3 linked regions of the Macaca fascicularis genome follow. The protein of the gene in region 1 purifies or fractionates together with the protein of each later gene. This does not show direct contact. Links are inferred from orthologs where the notes say so. Each region holds a gene or a part of one and is shown in the gene's direction. Other genes may lie near its edges.

Region 1 (3,752 bases):
GTTGAAGGAATTTATCTTAAGTCCTGAAGCCTAGCCACTTGAGACAACTGAGGTGATTTTTCTGCTCTGCTTTTGCTCATGTGGATGGTGTATTATTGCTAAACACAAAAGTGGACTAAATGCTTCATTCTGCAACCTACTCCCTGAAGAAAGCTGCTTTTCTTTGTGAAGCGAATATATTAATGTTTTGTTCATGAATTCCATGCAATTTCCCATCCCCTTGTTAAGTAATGTAGCTAATTTATATTGGCAAAATTCCCTTTATCTCGCTGTGACCTGCGTTTCGTCCTTCCAAGCAGAGCAAATCATCCGTGGCTTAACAGCAGGCTTTGGATTCAAGTCCCCTTTTCTCCTGTCGAGGGAAGTGAGTCTATGAACCGGCCTTCATCTGAAAGCCACAGCGAAGCACCTCCTAGCCCAAGTCTAGCTGCTGTGTGGCAGCTCCAGCGGTGTGACCTGTGACTGCCCTGCAGACACCTAACAAGCGCTGCGTGAGCTATTAATAATAAAATCAACTCTTCTCCCTCCCCCCCCGCGAGGGGGGTTCCCTCGTCAGGGCCCAGAACCCGCTGGGGTAGAATCGGGGCTGGCGTGCGAAGGAGCTGGCGGCAGGGGGTGTGGGATGCGGTGTTCCCGAGGAGACAGATGAAGGATTTGGGTTGTGTGGGAAGGGAACTGCGGAATTCCTCCCCTTGGTTCCTGAGGGGGGCTCCGAAGGAGACAGATTAGGATGCAGAGCGCAGCCCGGGCGACCGAGGGCGAGGAGGCGAGCCAAGGACACCAACCAGCCCGAGCGCGCCTCGAGGACGCCCCGCGTGGACCGCGCTCCAAGCTCCTCGGCCTCGCCTTCCAACCATCCGCCCACCGGCCCCAAAGCAGCGAGCGCACTGTGAGCGCCCCACCCTGCGTCCGCAGGTGGGTGGGCCAGAGAACCGCACGCAGCTAGGAGGGACCCCGGCTCCCCCTCCGCCAACCCCGGGACCGCGGCGCGCGCGGCCTCGATCCGGGTTCCTAGGGGCGGCGCGCGGGAGGGGGCGGGGCCTGCGCGGCAGCGTGGGCGCCAGGCGCGCGGGAGGAGGGAGCCGGGGGGAGGGGGCGGGGCCGCGCCGCCCGCGCCGCGCTGGGCGCTCTCGGCCAATGAGCGGCGTCCACATGCCGCGGCGGCGGCGAGAGGGGAGGCAGCGGCCGATAAATGCTATTAGAGCAGCCGCCGCGGAGCCGTCCCCGACGCCACCTCCTTCTCCTTCGCCGCAGTTTCCTCCGCCGCTGTCGTGCGTGCGGAGCTGAGGGACCCGGTCGAGCGCTGCCGCGCACCGCCCCGCCGGCTCGCCTCCCTTGCCGCGTTCCGCTCTCGGAGGTCGGCCGGGCGCCCCCTCCTCCGGCCCGGGCGGGGCCTCTGATCGCCTCAAGAGAACGGGGAGGGGGCTCGGGGGCCGCGGCCTGCGCTCCCCGCGGGCGGCTGAGGGCGAGGGAGGCCCTCCCTTCTGCGAGGGGAGGGAGGGTCAGGAGCCCCCCACCCGCCCTGCGGAGCTCGGGGCCGCGCGAGGGGCGGTTGTCTGGGGGAGGGGGCGCGGGGTGATTCAGCGCCCGGCGAGGCGGAAGCAGCCGCAGGAGGAGGAGGGGAGCGCCCGTCCGCGCCTGGGCTCCCGGGGTGGCACGAGCCCGCGGCCGGAGTGCGAGGCGGAGGCGAGGAGGCCGCGGGGACGGGAGGCGAGGCCGGCCGGGCCTCCGAAGCCATGGAGAACGCGCACACAAAGACGGTAGAGGAGGTGCTGGGCCACTTCGGCGTCAACGAGAGTACGGGGCTGAGCCTGGAGCAGGTCAAGAAGCTCAAGGAGAGATGGGGCTCCAACGGTAGGTGCCGGGCGTTCGGCTACAGGGGCCCGGCGCGGCCCGGAGAGCCAGGGAAGATGGCTGACCGGGCTCCACCTCGTGGGCTTCGGCTCCGCGCCAGCCGACGGCTGCGGGCGGAGGGTCGGGCCGGCGCGGCGGCCCCGCAGGGGAGAAAGGGGCTGCGGGTCTCGCCTCGCCTCGCCTTCCTTGGACCTCCTCGCGTCTCGGGCCCTGGATCTTCTCGGCGCGCAAGGCTCGGAGGCTTCTCTCCAGCAGCAGCCGGTCCCGGTGGAGGGAGGGACGAGGCTCCTGCAGCTGGGTTGAGCCCGGCAAGACGTTTTCTCGTCCCCTGCCGATTTATGAGGCGTCGAGGTCGTTGGAAAGCCTCTGACCGTTCTTGTCCTACCCAGTTACACATCTGGCAGAAGTGATGACATCGCTGAAACCACTCCTCGGTTCAGGAGCCCTAAGTGATTTCACGCTTAGGGCTAGACCTCAGGCCATTGATTACAAAGAGTGCATGCTTTCTTGAGATATCTTTGTAGTATACCTTCTGCTAAAAAAAATTTGGATATTCCTATAGCTAGGTCTGTGTTTTGAAGATACTGATGCTTAGAATTGTAGCAGTTCTTTTTAGAAAGACGGAGTGCTAAAATGTCTCTCTCTTTTTTTTTAACCTCCCTCTTGACACATTGCCTGGCGAATTTCTACATTCTACAGAGTTACCGGCTGAAGAAGGTAATCTTAACATTTTTTTTTCCCTCTTTTGGTGTGCTGATGGTAAGATGACAGCTACAACACATGTGTTTGTTTCTTACAGGAAAAACCTTGCTGGAACTTGTGATTGAGCAGTTTGAAGACTTGCTAGTTAGGATTTTATTACTGGCAGCATGTATATCTTTTGTAAGTATGAAAAAATTTATTTTCTTTCCCCCAGAAAGGTGAAAGTATTCCATAGATAAATCAGAAAACAAATGGTGTCCATTGGGTGAAAACATATTGGGAGTTACAAGCTGTGTCTCCATGTTTAAAAACAATCTGGGCATTTTAAAATTACGAACAAAACACTTGAAGCCATTAATATTCAGAAAATAGATGCCTGACATTTATAATGCAATTAGGAGTTGTCCCAGAGTGTGGCATGGTCTTACAAATTCTTGTGGTTTATCAGCTTTTAATATCAAAAAGTTCTTCACTGGGAAGCCTTTAATGTTTTGGGTTCTTCCATTGTTACCGTGTTGTAAGATCATACTAAGATGATGTTGGACTCTTTGTAGTCTGTAAATAGAACTTACAAAAGGAATATTCCAGTTGCTTTCCCTTCCTGGTAATGGCAAGGTGACAGTTGTTCCTGACGGTGACAAGAATGATGACGGCTGTGATGGCACCCTTGTTGACCAAATTTGGTCACTGACCTTTAGGGTGGTATATTTATCTAAATTGGACCCCTGTCTTAAGTGATTCTTAGGTTGGAAGAACAAGGTTTCTTTACAGGGTACAGTAACAAGGTACAGTTGGTTTTAGATCTTAAAGGAAAAAAACCAGCATGGTGTTTTTTCTTGTTCTGTGTGTGCTTACCCACTTGAGTGCTATACGGTTGCTAAGAAACTAGTGAAATGCAAAGAACTACAGCAGAAAAAAGGTGTTGGGGTGGCAAGTATATTTCTAGGTTTTTAACTTTTTTTTAAATGTTCGGTATTAATTTTTTGTTGCATTTTTTTTCCTTGGGCAGTAGACTGCTTGGTAGTTTTCCTAAAAATAATCATGAATAGGACACAGATGTTCCTAATCCTAGTAGCATGAAATGCCTTTTATTCTTGAATTACAGTATTACAAAAACCACAATAAGTGAAATTCACCCAGTGTAGTACTTCTTTCTAGTTAAAACAAAATTGACAAAACTTCACGGTTTCGGTTTT
Region 2 (3,737 bases), on another chromosome or scaffold:
TGCTAGATTAAATGAGGCACATCCTTTTAAAAACATTACAAAACTTAAATTTCAACACATCAAACCTATAAAGCCTCATTAACTGATATGTAACTGATTTGGAATCTGTAATTATTTCTTTTTTGCTATAAAGTTGCCCTTAATACTGCATCTGTTTATAAAAAATTTATTAAGATTGTGTAACAATTTAATGCAACTGTTTAAAAAAATCTTAAATACTTAAAAGTAGCATATTGTTATTTTGGGGGGGATTATATGTATCAGTTTAAATATAAGAATTACCATTCACAAATATATTGTTAAACTGCTAATTGAAGAAAACACAAATGAATTAAATACATTTATTAGTTCTTTAACTGTAAGATAAAAATCATTTTTTAAAACAAAAAGCAGTTACTAGCCTGATTTCCTCATACACACTCCTTCTTCCATACACACAACAAAATAAGAAAATAGGTATAAAATTTGATTGTGTAAAAATATTTCACTATTGTCTTGTTGAAAGCTAACATTATGAAGACGTGGTATTAAAGCAACAGCAGCAAGAATTCAATGAAAGTTGTTTTGCTTATACTTGTGTTTATTTTTCTCATAATTAAAATTCCTGTAGTAACTATTTTGGCTCTTCAACATCTTCACCATTAATATTCAATTATCTCTAAGCCTGAAGATGCATGAATCTTTAACAAAAGCTTTCTACCACCTCAAATTTACTTTGTTTTTTCATTTATCTGCCATATACTGTTTTAAATTAGAAACAAAAGATGAAGCACAAAGTGTTAATGACTTTTCCATACCTAAAGTAAGAAGTTCTAAAGTTTGGTTGTGCTGAGACTAAGACTATGGCTAACCAATCGAAACTTCAGAATTCCTATGTGACATCATAAGACCTCCCTAGAACACTTTTTCTCCTCCACCTACTGCAACTGTTCCCATAAACCGGGTGACAGAGTCAGAAAACTCCCCAGCTAAATACCCATAAGACTTCATACAACACAATACTCTATATTGTGATGATCACAGCAGCCAAGGTAAGAAACAGATTTCACTGACTTTGGTAATTCTTACTTTCTGTAATTCTTTAATTCCTATAATTTCTATAATCTGAACTTTTAAGATAAGTTACTTTTATTAATATCAGTTCAAACTTAAGCAATAAAATGACATGACAAAGTGCTTAAATTTATAAATGCTTATCCATTTAGTGACAGTAAAAATGAGACAACTTTGAAATGAAAAAGGTCATATTCATCTTTGATCCTGGTTATTTGTTTGTCATTTTAATTTAACTTTCACTTTTATTTTGCTTTTCAAATGTGAATTTCTGCCAATTAAAAAAATCTTCCAATTATGTTACCATATTTGGCAGCAGTGGTTTAATTTCTCCACACAAAAACAATGACTTAATTTTGTTATTTATTGCTCTGCTGAGAAACAGTGCAGAACTGAGTTATTTACATTTGAACTAATATGAATAGTCATTTGACTACAAACATGCATATTATCAGCATGCCTACTGCAATATCATCATAATTTCATACAGTGAATAATAATGAAATGGAGCTTAAGAATATATAATACAAGCTACTTTTAAAGTGCCCTTGAGGATGTTTCCCCTCTAAAGTCCAGTCACCTTTTAAGAAACATTTCTAAAAATTCCATGCTGTTAATAAATTGAGTTACTGATATTAAATTCAATATTGTATCATAAAGAAGTTTAGAAATTTTAAAACACTTTTCACAAACACACAAAAATCTGTTAGAGAATAGACACTTTAAAAAGTTATTTTGACACATGAATATTCTTAAGTATCTTATTTTCACACAAATTTGATTAAATGGATTTCTGCCTATTAATGCCTATAATTTTGTCAAGTTATTATCCTCCAGTGTTACTCCATTTCCTCTCTGAGATTTAGAAAGACAGGAGAAAATAAAATAAATGCCAGGAATGGAGATGCCACAATCAATTTTATGACTTCCGTTTGAATTCTACCCTATTCTTTAAGTTACAATCCTCAATTTAGTAAATGAAACGTTTCCTCATTCTCAGATCTCTGTCAGGGCTTACAGAAAATTACATATATTTTATTTATTTTAACTTTCATATTTTATATATATGTTAAAATTTACCTCTAAAATTCTCAATTCCCATGACAAATGTTAACTCTCTTGCTCACTACAAATACGAACTTTGTAATTCTGTAAGCGGTTTTCCTTAAGACATACAAAAACATAATTTTTGTCTACCATTGAGGTATCCTAATTGCATCTCCATATCTCTATACTCATAATTTTCCTTTGCTATTACACAAAAGTCATTCAGTGTAGGTGTCTTATATGCTTATTTGTGCATTTTTATTCAAATATCAAATTACATTCTCACACTTCAAATTGGGTGTTCATGAGTTATTTTATTGTATCAGAATTTCGCTTTATCACATATTGCTCTAAAAAGTACACAACCTCTGGATAGAGCAGAAATTCTATTAAAGTTACCCTTAGCTCACTAGTATGTCTCAGTTAACAGAAATTCCAGTTACAGAGACCGTTAAAATTTCAAACATAATGTGGTAGTACCATACATTATGTCCCAAATAGTTCATCTATACCTTAAGTTGCCAGTTAAGTATTGTCTTTGTTTATGAAGACATGTGGTTTAAAAATAAGTGCTTAAAAAAGTGTTAGATGAAATAAATGGGAAAAATATAAAATGTTTAAATTAAGAAGTGTTAAGTTTTATAAACACATGAAAGAGTCAGAGTACATGCTTTACTAAAAGGCGTGACAGCACTATCATTTCCCAAAATCAAATATCAAATCTATTTTATTTGTATTTTAGTAGGCATAAAGGAAAATAATCGCATTTGGGTATATAATCATATCTTTAATTAGCGAGATTAAGAAACAATAAGAAAATATTGCATAAACACAATGGTTTCAGAAAATTTTAATGTATTTTAATGTTTTAATGTACTAATTACACATGTAATACTAAATTATGTAATATATTAAATTTTTAATTTAAAAACAAATTTTAAAGTCTAGTTACCTCTCTAAATTAGACAATATATTACCAATCCCAGAAATGAGGGGGGCCAATTAAAACTTCTTCTTAAAGAACAATTTCCTAATGTACTGGTGTACACAAATATTTTATTTGGTCCTCTTAATTATATATTTGATACTGCATCCCTATTCTACAATTTAGGAACGATGCAAAAAGGTGAACTGCTCAAGATCACATAACTAAGAAAACAGGGAAACCTTAGCAGAAGTTTAGGTTTTGTCACTAAGCCACATGCACATCCTCTATATATTGACCAGCATGGCTTGAAGTAAATTGTGACACTGATAAACCAAATTTGAAAGCCCCCAAACACTGTAAATGATACTCTAAAAGGCAAATTCAGAGAATACAAACTTCTATTTTAATTTAAAACCATTCCATTTCACTTAAATTCAATTTGTACATCAGGCATTACATTCTTAATAGCCTAAATTATATTCTACTGATCATTTTCAAAACCAGAAATATACGAACATTACAGATGTCCTTAGTTGTTAAGCAAAATAACTGCAGTTAGATAAAATTCAAACTAACTGCACAGACTTCAAAAAACCGTAACATATCCCAATCAATCAAAGTTTCCTTTTATTTGTTTCATTGCTAAAATACTCATGCCTTCAATTCATCTGATACCTAAAATCCAAGTTAATATCTCCTCAAAACTTTC
Region 3 (3,652 bases), on another chromosome or scaffold:
GAATCTGGCCTTTAATATACGTCACACTTAAGATGCTTTTATGGGGCCCATGTGACTGGGCATGGTGGCTCACCCCTATAATCTTAACAGTTTGGGAGGCTGAGGTTAGGCGGATTGACCAGCCTGGGCAACATGGCAAAACTCCATCTCTACTTAAAATACAAAAATTTAGCTGGGCATGGTGGCATGGGGCCATCTGTAGTTCCAGCTACTCCGGAGGCTGAGGCAGAAGAATCACTTGAACCTGGGAGGCAGGAGTTGCAGTGAGCCAAGATCACACCACTGCACTCCAGCCCGGGAGACAGAGCGAGACTCTTTGTCTCAAAAAATAAAATTAAATTATAAAAAAAGCTTTTATGGATTTAAACTTGTTTTTTCATTCTCCATGGGAGTTAAAAAGGAGAACCATGAGTGGACATGCGTTTTAATAAATTAGAGGTTTGTGTAATTTCAGTGACGTGGTAATAATACCAGCTCTATTAGAAATAAAGAAATGGACCTTTTGTACTGGGAAGTAGTTATAAGTCCACTAATTTGTCTGCTCACTGTTATATATGTGTAAGCCCAATAATCGTGTTAGTTTATTAAGGTTTCTTGATTTATTTTTTTTTTAGTGTCTATAAGTAAAATCTTTAGTGTTAAAGATTTTAACTATCATTTGCTGTAATTCTTAGAAACCTGAGGAACTAAGCATTCATGTTTTCTGCATAAGGAAATGGGCACTAACTTGCCCAAGACCCCAAGAACCAGGCATTGTTCTTACCCCAAAGCCTCAGGTCATACTTCTGTTCTGCTGCTTCATGTTAGAAGTCATGATCTTTTGTATTATGGTAAAGGGAGCTTGGGAAATTAAGTACTTTTAATTCCATTTAATGTTTTTTTCAGTCTTGAATCCAGACAATAGTTTTGAAATACTAGTTGACCAATCTGTGGTGAATAGTGGAAATCTGCTCAATGACATGACTCCTCCTGTAAATCCTTCACGTGAAATTGAGGACCCAGAAGACCGGAAGCCCGAGGATTGGGATGAAAGACCAAAAATCCCAGATCCAGAAGCTGTCAAGCCAGATGACTGGTGAGTCTTGGGGACCTGTCTTCAAGTGTAAGGAAGCATTTCACATATTCCGTGTGGCTGGAACAGCCAAATGTTGGTTGAGTGAGCTCTGATAATTTCAGTAATCCATGATGCAGTCCAATCTGTAGGGAAACTATTAGAGTAGCTGGAAAGGGGTGAGAGTCAAGGAGTTGGTGAATACGGGAAGGGGTGTTTCTGATTGAAGAATGTCATATGCAGAGGTAGAGGAGCAGCAATAAGCTTGACATCCAAGGGAGAAATTACTTGGCCTTTTATGTAGGGTGCACATTGAAGAGTGAGGAGAAATTAAGATAGCTGGGGCTGGATTCTTGTATATGGCTATCTTTGAGCTTCCAGCTTCCATACAGTGACTCCAGAAATGTCAGAAACTGAAGAAATTCTTACCCTTTGTAAAAGTATCTTCCTATGCCCAGCAATTAAATTCTAGATGATCTTTTTCCTCCTTGAAAGGTAAGATACATATAACTGAACTTTTATAATGCACTAGTATAAATGCCAAGTTTATTTGTATATTTGGTGCATATGAGATTTGGACTTAGCCTTGTTCAGTATTATATACCTTAACTAGCTTTATCACCTAAGAAGACCCCTGTGCCCATTAAGCAGTCACTCCCTGTTTCCTCCCCGCAGCTCCCGGCAACCACTAACCTACTTTCTGCCTCTCTGCAGTTGTCCACTTTGTCCATTTCATATAAATGGAATCATACAGTATGTGGCTTTCTCTGTCCAGTTGCTTTCATTTAGCACAGTGTTTTCCAGGTGTATCTGTGTTGAAGCATGTATCAGTACTGCATTCCTTTTTATGATTGAATAAATTCTACTGGTTTGATAATGCTACATTTTATTTATCCTGCCTTGGTGGACATTTAGGTTGTTTGCTCCTTTTTGTCTGTGATTATGAATGATGCTGCTATGAATGTTCATGTACTGGTTTTTTTTTTTTTCTTTTTTTTGAGACGGGGTCTCGCTCTGTCACCCAGGCTGGAGTGCAGTGGCCAGATCTCAGCTCACTGCAAGCTCCGCCTCCCGGGTTCACGCCATTCTCCTGCCTCAGCCTCCCGAGTAGCTGGGACTACAGGCGCCCGCCACCTCGCCCGGCTAGTTTTTTGTATTTTTTAGTAGAGACGGGGTTTCACCAGGTTAGCCAGGATGGTCTCGATCTCCTGACCTTGTGATCCACCCATCTCGGCCTCCCAAAGTACTGGGATTACAGGCTTGAGCCACCGCGCCCGGCCCCATGTACTGGTTTTTATATAAATATGTTTTTTCTTTTCTTGCTTTTTTTTTTTTTTGAGATGGAGTCTCGCTCTGTCGCCCAGGCTGGAGTGCAGTGGCCGGATCTCAGCTCACTGCAAGCTCCGCCTCCCGGGTTTACGCCATTCTCCTGCCTCAGCCTCCCAAGTAGCTGGGACTACAGGTGCCCGCCACCTCGCCTGACTACTTTTTTGTATTTTTTTTAGTAGAGATGGGGTTTCACCATGTTAGCCAGGATGGTCTCGATCTCCTGACCTCGTGATCTGCCCGTCTCGGCCTCCCAAAGTGCTGGGATTACAGGCTTGAGCCACCGCGCCTGGCCCTTTTTTTTTTTTTTTTTTTTTTTTGAGATGGAGTCTGGCTCTGTTGCCCAGGCTGGAGTACAGTGGCGTGATCATGGCTCACTGCAACCTCTGTCTCCCAAGTTCAAGTGATTCTCCCGCCTCAGCTTCCCAAATGGCTGGGATCACAAGTGTGTGCCACCACGCCCCGCTAATTTTTGTATTTTTAGTAGAGACGGGGTTTTACCATGTTGGCCAGGCTGGTCTCGAACTCCAGACCTCAGGTGATCCTCCCGCCTCAGCCTCCCAAAGTGCTGGGTTACAGGCGTGAGCCACCACGCCTGACCTCTTTTCTTTAGACATGGTCTCTTTGTGTTGCCCAGGTGGGAGTGCAGTGGTAAGGTCACGGCTCACTGCAACCTCCACCTCATCGGGTCAAGCGATCATCTCCCGCCTTAGCTTCCCAAGTAGCTGGGACTGTCGGTATGCACACCTGGCTAATTTTTGTGGGTTTTTTGTTTGTTTGTTGAGACAGAGTCTCGTTTTGTCGCCCAAACAGGCTGTAGTGGAGTGGCACGATCTCGGCTCACTGCAACCTCTGCCTCCCGGGTTCAAACGATTCTCGTGCCTCAGCCTCCCAAGTAGCTGAGACTAAAAGCGTGCACCACTGTGCTCATGCCTCAGCCTCCAAGTAACTGGGACGACAAGCGGGCACCACTACAAAAAATACTTGTATTTTTAGTAAAGATGGGATTTCACCATGTTGGCCAGACTGGTCTCAAAATTCTGATTTCAAGTGATCTACCAGCCTCGGCCTCCCAGAGGGCTGGGATTACAGGCATGTGCCACCGTGCCTGGCTATGTATGTTTTTTCTTTTTTGTTTTGAGACGGAGTTTCGCTCTTGTTGCCCAGGCTGGAGTGCAATGGTGCGATCTCAGCTCACCGCAACCTCTGCCTCCCAGTTTCCAGTGATTCTCCTGCCTCAGCCTCCTGAGTAGCTGGGATTACAGGCATGTGCCA

Evidence for each region.
Region 2: the proteins of ATP2A2 (region 1) and PLN purify together in Homo sapiens (affinity purification with western blotting; 4 studies listed by BioGRID). This does not show direct contact. The link is inferred for Macaca fascicularis from reciprocal best matches to the Homo sapiens genes ATP2A2 and PLN.
Region 3: the proteins of ATP2A2 (region 1) and CANX purify together in Homo sapiens (co-immunoprecipitation; 3 studies listed by BioGRID and IntAct, with this or other methods). This does not show direct contact. The link is inferred for Macaca fascicularis from reciprocal best matches to the Homo sapiens genes ATP2A2 and CANX.

Annotation. Positions count from the first base shown.
Region 1 is NC_088385.1:117,152,148-117,155,899, forward strand, and holds the start of ATP2A2 (sarcoplasmic/endoplasmic reticulum calcium ATPase 2), read left to right. Parts: upstream 1-1,215; 5' UTR 1,216-1,736; coding exon 1,737-1,854; intron 1,855-2,553; coding exon 2,554-2,571; intron 2,572-2,653; coding exon 2,654-2,736; intron 2,737-3,752.
Region 2 is NC_088378.1:22,485,283-22,489,019, forward strand, and holds the start of PLN (phospholamban), read left to right. Parts: upstream 1-934; 5' UTR 935-1,031; intron 1,032-3,737. UniProt on the Homo sapiens protein: Reversibly inhibits the activity of ATP2A2/SERCA2 in cardiac sarcoplasmic reticulum by decreasing the apparent affinity of the ATPase for Ca(2+).
Region 3 is NC_088380.1:186,589,051-186,592,702, forward strand, and holds part of CANX (calnexin), read left to right. Parts: intron 1-885; coding exon 886-1,075; intron 1,076-3,652. UniProt on the Homo sapiens protein: Calcium-binding protein that interacts with newly synthesized monoglucosylated glycoproteins in the endoplasmic reticulum. It may act in assisting protein assembly and/or in the retention within the ER of unassembled protein subunits.